2 linked regions of the Callithrix jacchus genome follow. The protein of the gene in region 1 purifies or fractionates together with the protein of each later gene. This does not show direct contact. Links are inferred from orthologs where the notes say so. Each region holds a gene or a part of one and is shown on either strand. Other genes may lie near its edges. The genes, in order: GTSE1 and ACAD11.

Region 1 (4,487 bases):
AGGCATCTGCTTCTGGTGCAACCTCAGGAAGCTTAAGACAGAAGGTGTTGGGGAGCCAGTGTATCACAGAGCAGGAGTGAGAGAGAGAAGGGGAGGCCTCAGACTCTTAACTGAAATAACCAGATCTATGTGAACTAACAAGAACTCATTCGTCACCAAGGGGATGGTGCTAAGCCATGCATGAGGGATCTGCCCTCCTGATCAATGACTTCCCACAAGCCCCACTTCCAACACTGGGATCGCGTTTCAACATGAGATTTGGAGGGGACAAACATCCAAACTACGGCATATCCTACTGGGGGAAGGTAGAAATGACTTTGTGTAGATAGGCCACACCTACTATGTGCTGACATGATACCGGGAGGAGTATCAGGAGTGGATGTTGGGGATCCCTCTGCCACTCTCCCAGCAGACATCCCCAGGACGAGCCGAGAGGCGAATGCGATGAGCAGGCCAAACTCTTTCCAAGCTGTTTGATCACACCCGCCTACCCCAGCACGCTCAGCCCCTGCCTGCTGCCCTGTGCTGGGCTAGGGAGACTGATGAGTGAGGGCTGGGCTGGGCTGGGCTGGCCTGCCCTTTATGATCCCAGGGTCTTCTGGTGAAGGAGCACAGCAACATGGAGTGATTGGTGTGGATGATGGAAAACCAGGGACATGGGACCCGGAAGTGGCTCCAGCCAGCCTGCAAGGCCTCTGCCCTGGGGCCCCGGTGGCTGCTTCCTAGACAGCTCTCCACCGAACGTGCCCAAATAAACAGCTTATCTTCCTCCCTGAAAATGGTGCTCTCCGGAGTTCCGTCCTTTCCCCGGCGCGTCATCCCAGGCCCCTCTTCCTGCACCCTCCTCCATCCATCAGTCCTGGATAATCAAAGCTCCCACTTAGTGACGCTGTGCCCTGGGTGGAGCCCCTCATTCCATCCTCAAGCCCCCGAGTTGGGTATTACACCTGGTTGGCTGGCAAAGCGAGGTCAGTCTCAAGTTGCCGCCCACTGACCCGTCGGCCAGTCCTGTCCTTGCGTCTCTATGGCTCAGGTCAGGGATGTCCTATTTGCGTCCCACCCCTCCCCAGCATATGCACTCCGCAAGGCAGGCTCCATCACCGGGGGCCTCTCTCCTCCACCGCAGCTCCCCAGCTGGCCTGTAAAGCCCAGGACAGGCTCTCGCCTCGCCCTCGGCCGTCCTCAGGCCTTGGCGGTTGGGGAAGCCCGTGAAGGGCAACGGTTCTCCTCCGACCGCACAGACTGTGCAGCTCGGGCCATGAGTCTCCTGGTCCCTGAGTCACCCGGCGCAACCGTGCGCGCCCCCGGGCAGGGACCGCGCCTTTTCACTACTGTGTTAGTAAAAGCTGGCGCGCGCGGCTTCGCAGAAGGTGGGTGAGCCTACTTGGTTTAGTTCTTCCCATCGACACCCTTAAGTGGCAGTTTTAACTTTCTCCTTACACGAAGAGCTGCCCTACGTGGTTCCGGCTGATGCGGACGGCGAAGAGACACTAGGCGACCAGGTCAGGCGCTCTTCCGGGTGGGAGCGCCCCCCCCCCCGCGCCGTGCGGAGCCAATCACTGCGTTGAAGCAGTTCGCATGCGCGCGGGGTGTTTCTTACCGGCGTCCCGACTACAATCCCCAGGATGCATCGGGCCCACCGCCTCACGGAGCCCTTTTCAAACCCACCAATCGGCAGCCCGCGTCGTTCGGCGCCGCGTTTAAATCCGTACCGGAGGCGCGTCCTGCGTCGTCGCGGCTCTAGGTAAGGGGGTCGGGGTCGGGGGCGGGGGCGAAGGGTGTTGGGTGGGCCAGGTGCCCGCGGTACAGACGTTCTCGGCACGGGGAGGGGCCGCGTGCCACCGGGAGCCGGGCCTGGGCTCGAGCCGGGGTTACCGTGGCGCCTCGCACCAAGGTCTGGGATGTAGGGAGGTCCAGGGCTGCCCCCCCGCGCAACCAGAGCCCCCAACACTCTGGCCCAGAAGCCGAGAATTCCGTTATCTCGTCCGATAGCGCTCGGGCTGACTCCGGGCCTGGCGGCACTCGGCCCCTGGGGTCCCCTGGGATGCGATTATTTCAGAGCGACCCCGCACCGCCTCTCCCGGACCTGGCCACGACCTTTAGTTCTCTCTGCCCCTGTGAGCCGAAGGCTGAAGGAACCAGGAGCCCTGGGCCCTGACACGCGCTCACCTTCTGGTCCCCTTTCACCCTGCAGTGACTTCTGACAGCTCTCTCCATGGAAGGAGGCGGCGGCCGCGATGAGCCTTCAACCTGCCGGGTAGGGGACGCGAACGTGGATGACCCTAAGAAGGAAGGCAAGTCCTTGCCGCTGCGGCGCTGTTGTTGTTTAGGACGTTCAGTAGAGATGGAGGTTGATTTAATGTTGCCTTGAGAAATTATTTCTTTCTCAAGTGTTCGCCTTGTATTCTGCACCTGTGAAACACATGGCATCTGTATTTTCTGGTTTTCTTTCACCTCCTCCCAGTTTTAAGCTTCATCACAGCCAGGATTCCCATCAGTTTTACTTAGCACAGTGCCCCCATGCCCTGAACAGTACCTGACACTTTGTGGGTGCTCAAACGTTTGTTGAATTGAATTCGACGTTTCCTTTTTTTGTCGTTGGTTTCTGTTCGCTAAGACTTTTTAGGATCTTTGAGACCTTGTTAATGAGTGAGTCTGGCCCAAAACTTTCCTTTCTTCTTGTGTCTTTGTCTGGTTTGGGTATCAAGGTGAGGGTACAGCTTCACAAAATGAGTTACAGACCACACCCTCTTTTTCTCTCAAAGCGTGTTTTTTGGTTTGTTTTTGTTTTTTCAGACGGCATTTCGAGGTTTTTGCCCAGGCTGGAGTGCAATGGCTCCATCTCAGCTCACCACAACCTCCGCCTCTCTGGTTCAAGCAATTCTCCTGCCTCAGCCTCCCGAGTAGCTGGGATTATAGGCATGCAACCATGCCTGGTTAATTTTGTATTTTTAATAGAGACAGGGTTTCTCCATGTTGGTCAGGCGTGTCTCAAACTCCTGACCTCAGGTTATCTGCCCACCTCTGCCTCCCAAAGTGCTGGGATTACAGCATGAGCTACCATGCCCTGTTTTTTTTTTTTTTTTTTGGCTTTTTGTTTTGTTTTGTTTTTTTGATGGAATCCTGCTCTGTCACCCAGGCTGGAGGGCGGTAGCGAGATCTCAACACTGCAATCTCTGCCTCCTAAGCTGAAGGGATTCTCCTACCTCAGCTTCCTGAGTAGCTGGGATTACAGGTGCCCACCATCACACCCAGCTAAGTTTTGTATTTTTAACAGAGATAGGGTTTTGCCATGTTGCCCAGGCTGGTCTCGAACTCCTCAGCTCAGGCAGTCCACCCTCCTTGGCCTCCAAAAGTGCTAGGATTATAGGTGTGAGTCATGTCACCTGGCCTCAAAGCATTTTCATATCCTTTTATCCTTTGATTCTCACGCTATCCAAGGATTTCGAGGCCTAGTCTCACTGTGTCCCCCAGGTTGGATTGCAATGGTGTGATCCTGGCTCACTGCAACATCTGCCTCCCGGGTTCAAGGGATTCTCCTGCCTCAGCCTCCTGAGTAGCTGGGATTACAGACACCCACCACCATGCCCAGCTAATTTTCTTTTCTTTTGAGATGGAGTCTCACTATGTTGCCTGGCTGGAGTGTAGTGGCGCAATCTTGGCTCACTGGAATCTCTGCCTCCCAGGTTCAAGCGATTCTCCTGCCTCAGCCTCTGAGTAGCTGGGACTACAGGCATGCGCCACCATGCCCAGCCATTTTTTTTGTATTTTTAGTGTAGACAGGGTTTCACCAAGTTGGTTCGCCAGGATGGTCTCGATCTCTTGACCTCGTGATCCACCCGCCTCGGCTTCCCAAAGTGCTGGGATTACAGACATGAGCCACTGCACCTGGGCTAATTTTGTATTTTTAGTAGCGATGAGGTTTTACCATGTTGGCCAGGCTGTCTCAAACTCTTGACCTCAGGTGATCTACCCGCCTCAGCCTCCCAAAGTGCTGGGATTACAGACATGATCCTGTGGCTGGGCCCCAAGCATCCTCAATGCCCCTATTTTGCAGGAACTGTCCTGGAGACTTTGCAAATCACCGTTGCATCTTCATCTAGAGAGGCGCTTGCCTCTGCACCCTGTCCTCCCTCCTGTCGTGTCCTCCCTTTCCAATAAGTCCCTTCCACATGCATGCTGCACCCGCTGCTCCTTCTCAAGGCCTTCCCCACTTCCGTCACCCTGGCTTCCTCTCCCCACTTCTCCACTGTCCACTGGATCGTGCTCCTCCACATTCGGATACGTTCCCTTGTCTCACTTGTCGCCACGTCTCCTCTGCTGCCTCCACTGCTGTGTTTCTCCTTCCAAGCCAAACTTCGAGCGCTTTCTCACTTGTTCTGTCACTTTTTCCACCCCTCAACCCCTCCCGTTCCAGCTTCCATCCTCATCACTCCATTCAAGCTGTATGAAAACAGTTCATTGCCCAGTCTCTTGTTACTCTTCTA
Region 2 (3,811 bases), on another chromosome or scaffold:
TTACCTTAAGGATTGATTCTTCTGTTTATTTCATTTAGATCTCTCCTTTATACAGTTGGATTCTTCAAAAGTTGGGTGATTCTTAAATGCCCATATTATAAGTGAAGGTATAGACTGAATAGTTTTGGTAGCTGAAGTGTTTATACTTAGTCTAGGTGAGAATTTCTGTTCATCTGGCAGGGAAAGGCAATGCCCTGGTGTCTGTGAGTTAGCTGGGCCAGCATTGCACTTCCCTGGACCACATGCTCACTGTGGGACCTCACTTCTCAGAACTCCCATTGTAGAGAGCTGAATTCATGCACTAGCCTTGGTGACATCTGTGGGGGTTATCTCTCTAAAGGCAGATGAAGGGGAATTAACCCAGCTGTTCCTGCATCCTTTAATTCATTTTCTGACTGATATTTAAAATCTCTTCTCTGATTCTTTATTTACTTACATCAGTCATTGTTCTACAGGTTCTCCTAATAAAACTTATGATTTGCAGTCAGGAAGTGGAGTCCTCTCTTCTACCTGTGTGGGTCAGACTCTTCAGCTGCCAGTATGTTGCCATCTGCTTTAATATCATCTAGAAATTCATGTTGTGAGCTGCTGATAGCACCTCTCTTGATTTTCTAGCACTGGGATGAATTTATTTTCATTTTTCTCTTCTGACATTTCAGTAGGATTTGGGGATAAAGGAAAATATATCTTTGTAATTGACCTTTTCTTTACTGTTATTTAGATCAGGACAGTCCAATCCAACCTTTTATCTCCAGAAGGGCCTTCAAGCATATGTGCTCAGGAAAAAACCACCAGGTTCACTTCTTCCTAAAGCACATAAGGTATAGTATACAAATGTAATGTTAAATTCTTTGGTGACAAATAAATGTTTTTAATACACACAAAGCCAATATACTTTTAAAAGGCATTCTATGATTGCCAGATAACATAAAATGCATTTTATTTTTAATGAAAATTTCCCTTTAATTATATCTTGTCTTAAGAAAGGATTTGAGGTTGAAATGTAAGCTTATCTTTAGGCTATTAATCTTGAACAATACCCACTTCTTTTGTGTATTTGATTTTCCTCTACACTGTTGGCTAGAAGTAAAATCAGCCAATGAATAGTTTCAGTGCTACTCCTCTATAGATATTTTGGTTTTGTTATATATGTAAATTATAATATATAATAGCATCTACTCAGAATTATTTTAATATATTTGCTATGATAATCCTCTAATCTTTTGGTGATAAAAAGAAAGATTTGAATAAGTATTTTACAGTACCCTCTAAATATTAGACAGTGAGAATTATAAAATATTTTTGTTAAAAACTAAGTTTTTCTGTCTTCAGAAAACATTATTATCTATAGATTTCCAGAGAACAGAAAGGGACAGAAATCAAAGTACTGGAGAACATTAAAAGCACTGTGTGTATTTAGAATGTGACTGTAATCATGTACAGCAGGTGATTCCCAGGCTCAGCTCACTAGGGAAGGGCAGTTGTGGGGTAGACTTAATATCACAGTATTAAAAAATGTAGATTCTATGGGACTTTCTTGGTCTCATATCATATTCCCAGAAACATGAAGGAACTTGGATGCTTAAGATAAAAGAGTTGGGTAACTTTTATTAAATCTCAGTATGGCATGGCTGAAGGAGAATCCCTACCCATGCCCCAGTAAACAGCTTTATTTGTCTCTTTTCTTGAAAACATCCCACCTGAACACATCAGAACAGGGCATAATGCTCTCAGCCCAAGTACAAGGATCGGGAGTACTTTGTTTCTACTCCCTTCATTTTTCTCAACGCTGCACTGATAAAAGCAATGCTCCTCCTATGTGATCCTCTTTTGCTTGTCTAACCCTCTTGCCCTCTCCCCCTTTCCCACCTCCCCCTCATCTCCCAACACCAGAGAGGTTACAAACACTTTTTTCCACAGCCCCTGATACCCCTGGCTTCTCTCACCTTGGACATGGGTTTCGTTAGTTTCCTGTTCCAGTTACTGCTGTAGAAGCTGCTTTACTTCCTGATATCAAAATGAGCTGCATACTTTCCCCTCCTTAGAATGGTCAGTCGCCATTGTCTGAATCGGAGGCCAGGTGACTGATTACATGCAGATGAGCCATCCTTACTTCGCCTGCATCAACAGCTCTTCCCTTGGGTCCTGAGTGATAGGCCTGTGCATCTGTCCTACTTAAGGAAGCCATTTTCTTCCTACTATCTTATTTGGGCTCCAGTTTGCTTCCAGCTGCCTACTTTCCTGGTAGTTATCTTGAGCTCCACAGCAGTCCTGAGTGCCAGGAAAGATCCCCATGTCCCTGCCCTGGAAACACATGCCTCCCATGCTCTCCAGAAAGGGAAGGTACTTTTCCTTCCACCACCACCCACCTCTCACCCCCAGCTCTCTTTAGCTGACTGCAGTAGAGTGCTAGAATAGAGACTTACCTGAGCTTCCTTGGAAGACCTGAAAGAACAACCAGCCAGCCAGGGAACTGCTGAGGACAAAAGGATGTTTTATGATAAAATATGTGAAATATTGTGAACATTATTGCCTTGGCATTATCAGAGCTAGTATTAAGTCTCATGCAGGTGCTCATCTTCTTATCCTAATTAGGCCGAGGCAGGTGAATCATGAGGTTAAGAGATCGAGACCATCCTGGTCAACGAGGTGAAACCCCATCTCTACTAAAAATACAAAAATTAGCTGGGCATGGTGGTGTGTGCCTGTAATCCCAGCTACTCGGGAGGGTGAGGCAGGAGAATTACTTGAACCCAGAAGGCGGAGGTTGCGGTGAGCCGAGATCATGCCATTGCACTCCAGTCTGGGTAACAACAGCGAAACTCTGTCTCAAAAAAAATAAAATTACATTTTTTAGCAGTGGTCTAATTTGTAATCATGATTATACCAAGACCACTATTAGGAAAATTATTATTACTATTATCCTCTGGGTTATTTGTTGATACGGTTTTACAGTTGTTTTCTAACCTTAAGGTTAGCTCATGAGTAGGTATTAAACTTAATTACAATTAAATCAATTTCTCTGATTTTTAATGATTCATCATCCTATTTAGATTGATAGAGAATTTAAGGTCCAGAAAGCCTTGTTTTCAATTGGATTCCCCGTTCCCAAGCCTATACTGTACTGCAATGATACGTCTGTCATTGGAACAGAATTTTACATAATGGAACATGTGCAGGTAAATTAACACTTAATCTTATTTTGTTGTTGCTTTTACTTTTAATTATGAAGTTAGGATGTTTTATTACATGAAGTTTTATTATGATACTAATAAATGATATAGTTTGTTATTTAACATTTTAGGTAATTAGATTGCTTTGCAAAGGCTTAAAATTTTGTTCAAATGTGAGCACTTACAAAGGGCGGGATGTAATAGACAAGAAACAAATTTAGTAAGAGGTATTGAATTTTTCTTAAATTTTCCTCTAGGTGTCAGTAAAGAGCTATATGTAATGGCAATAACCAACTTGTCTATAAGGTAGCAGGGAAAACGCATCTTCACGTAGTTTAAGCCATTAAGAACAATAAATTCAAAATGTGTTTTAAGTTTTTTCTTTAAAATAGTTGAGAGTAGTTTTGATGTTTATAGTCATCTTGGCATATCCTTGTATTTTCCCTTTGGCACATATACTCTAATATTAAATATATTTCACAAATGAATGTTTTTGTAGTAGATTCTGCAAAGTATTGGTTGCACACATTTAAATAATCTGTTGTAATCACTTCCATAGGGTCGAATATTTCGTGATTTAACAATGCCTGAAGTTAGCCCAGCAGAACGTTCAGCCTTGTATGTGGCCATGGTAGAAA

The links.
Region 2: the proteins of GTSE1 (region 1) and ACAD11 purify together in Homo sapiens (co-immunoprecipitation; 3 studies listed by BioGRID and IntAct, counting the BioPlex papers as one, with this or other methods). This does not show direct contact. The link is inferred for Callithrix jacchus from reciprocal best matches to the Homo sapiens genes GTSE1 and ACAD11.

What each region holds. Positions count from the first base shown.
Region 1 is NC_133502.1:213,685,300-213,689,786, reverse strand, and holds the start of GTSE1 (G2 and S phase-expressed protein 1), read left to right. Parts: upstream 1-1,683; 5' UTR 1,684-1,894; intron 1,895-2,194; 5' UTR 2,195-2,215; coding exon 2,216-2,294; intron 2,295-4,487. UniProt on the Homo sapiens protein: May be involved in p53-induced cell cycle arrest in G2/M phase by interfering with microtubule rearrangements that are required to enter mitosis. Overexpression delays G2/M phase progression.
Region 2 is NC_133518.1:51,460,927-51,464,737, forward strand, and holds part of ACAD11 (acyl-CoA dehydrogenase family member 11), read left to right. Parts: intron 1-721; coding exon 722-821; intron 822-3,053; coding exon 3,054-3,179; intron 3,180-3,732; coding exon 3,733-3,811. UniProt on the Homo sapiens protein: Acyl-CoA dehydrogenase, that exhibits maximal activity towards saturated C22-CoA.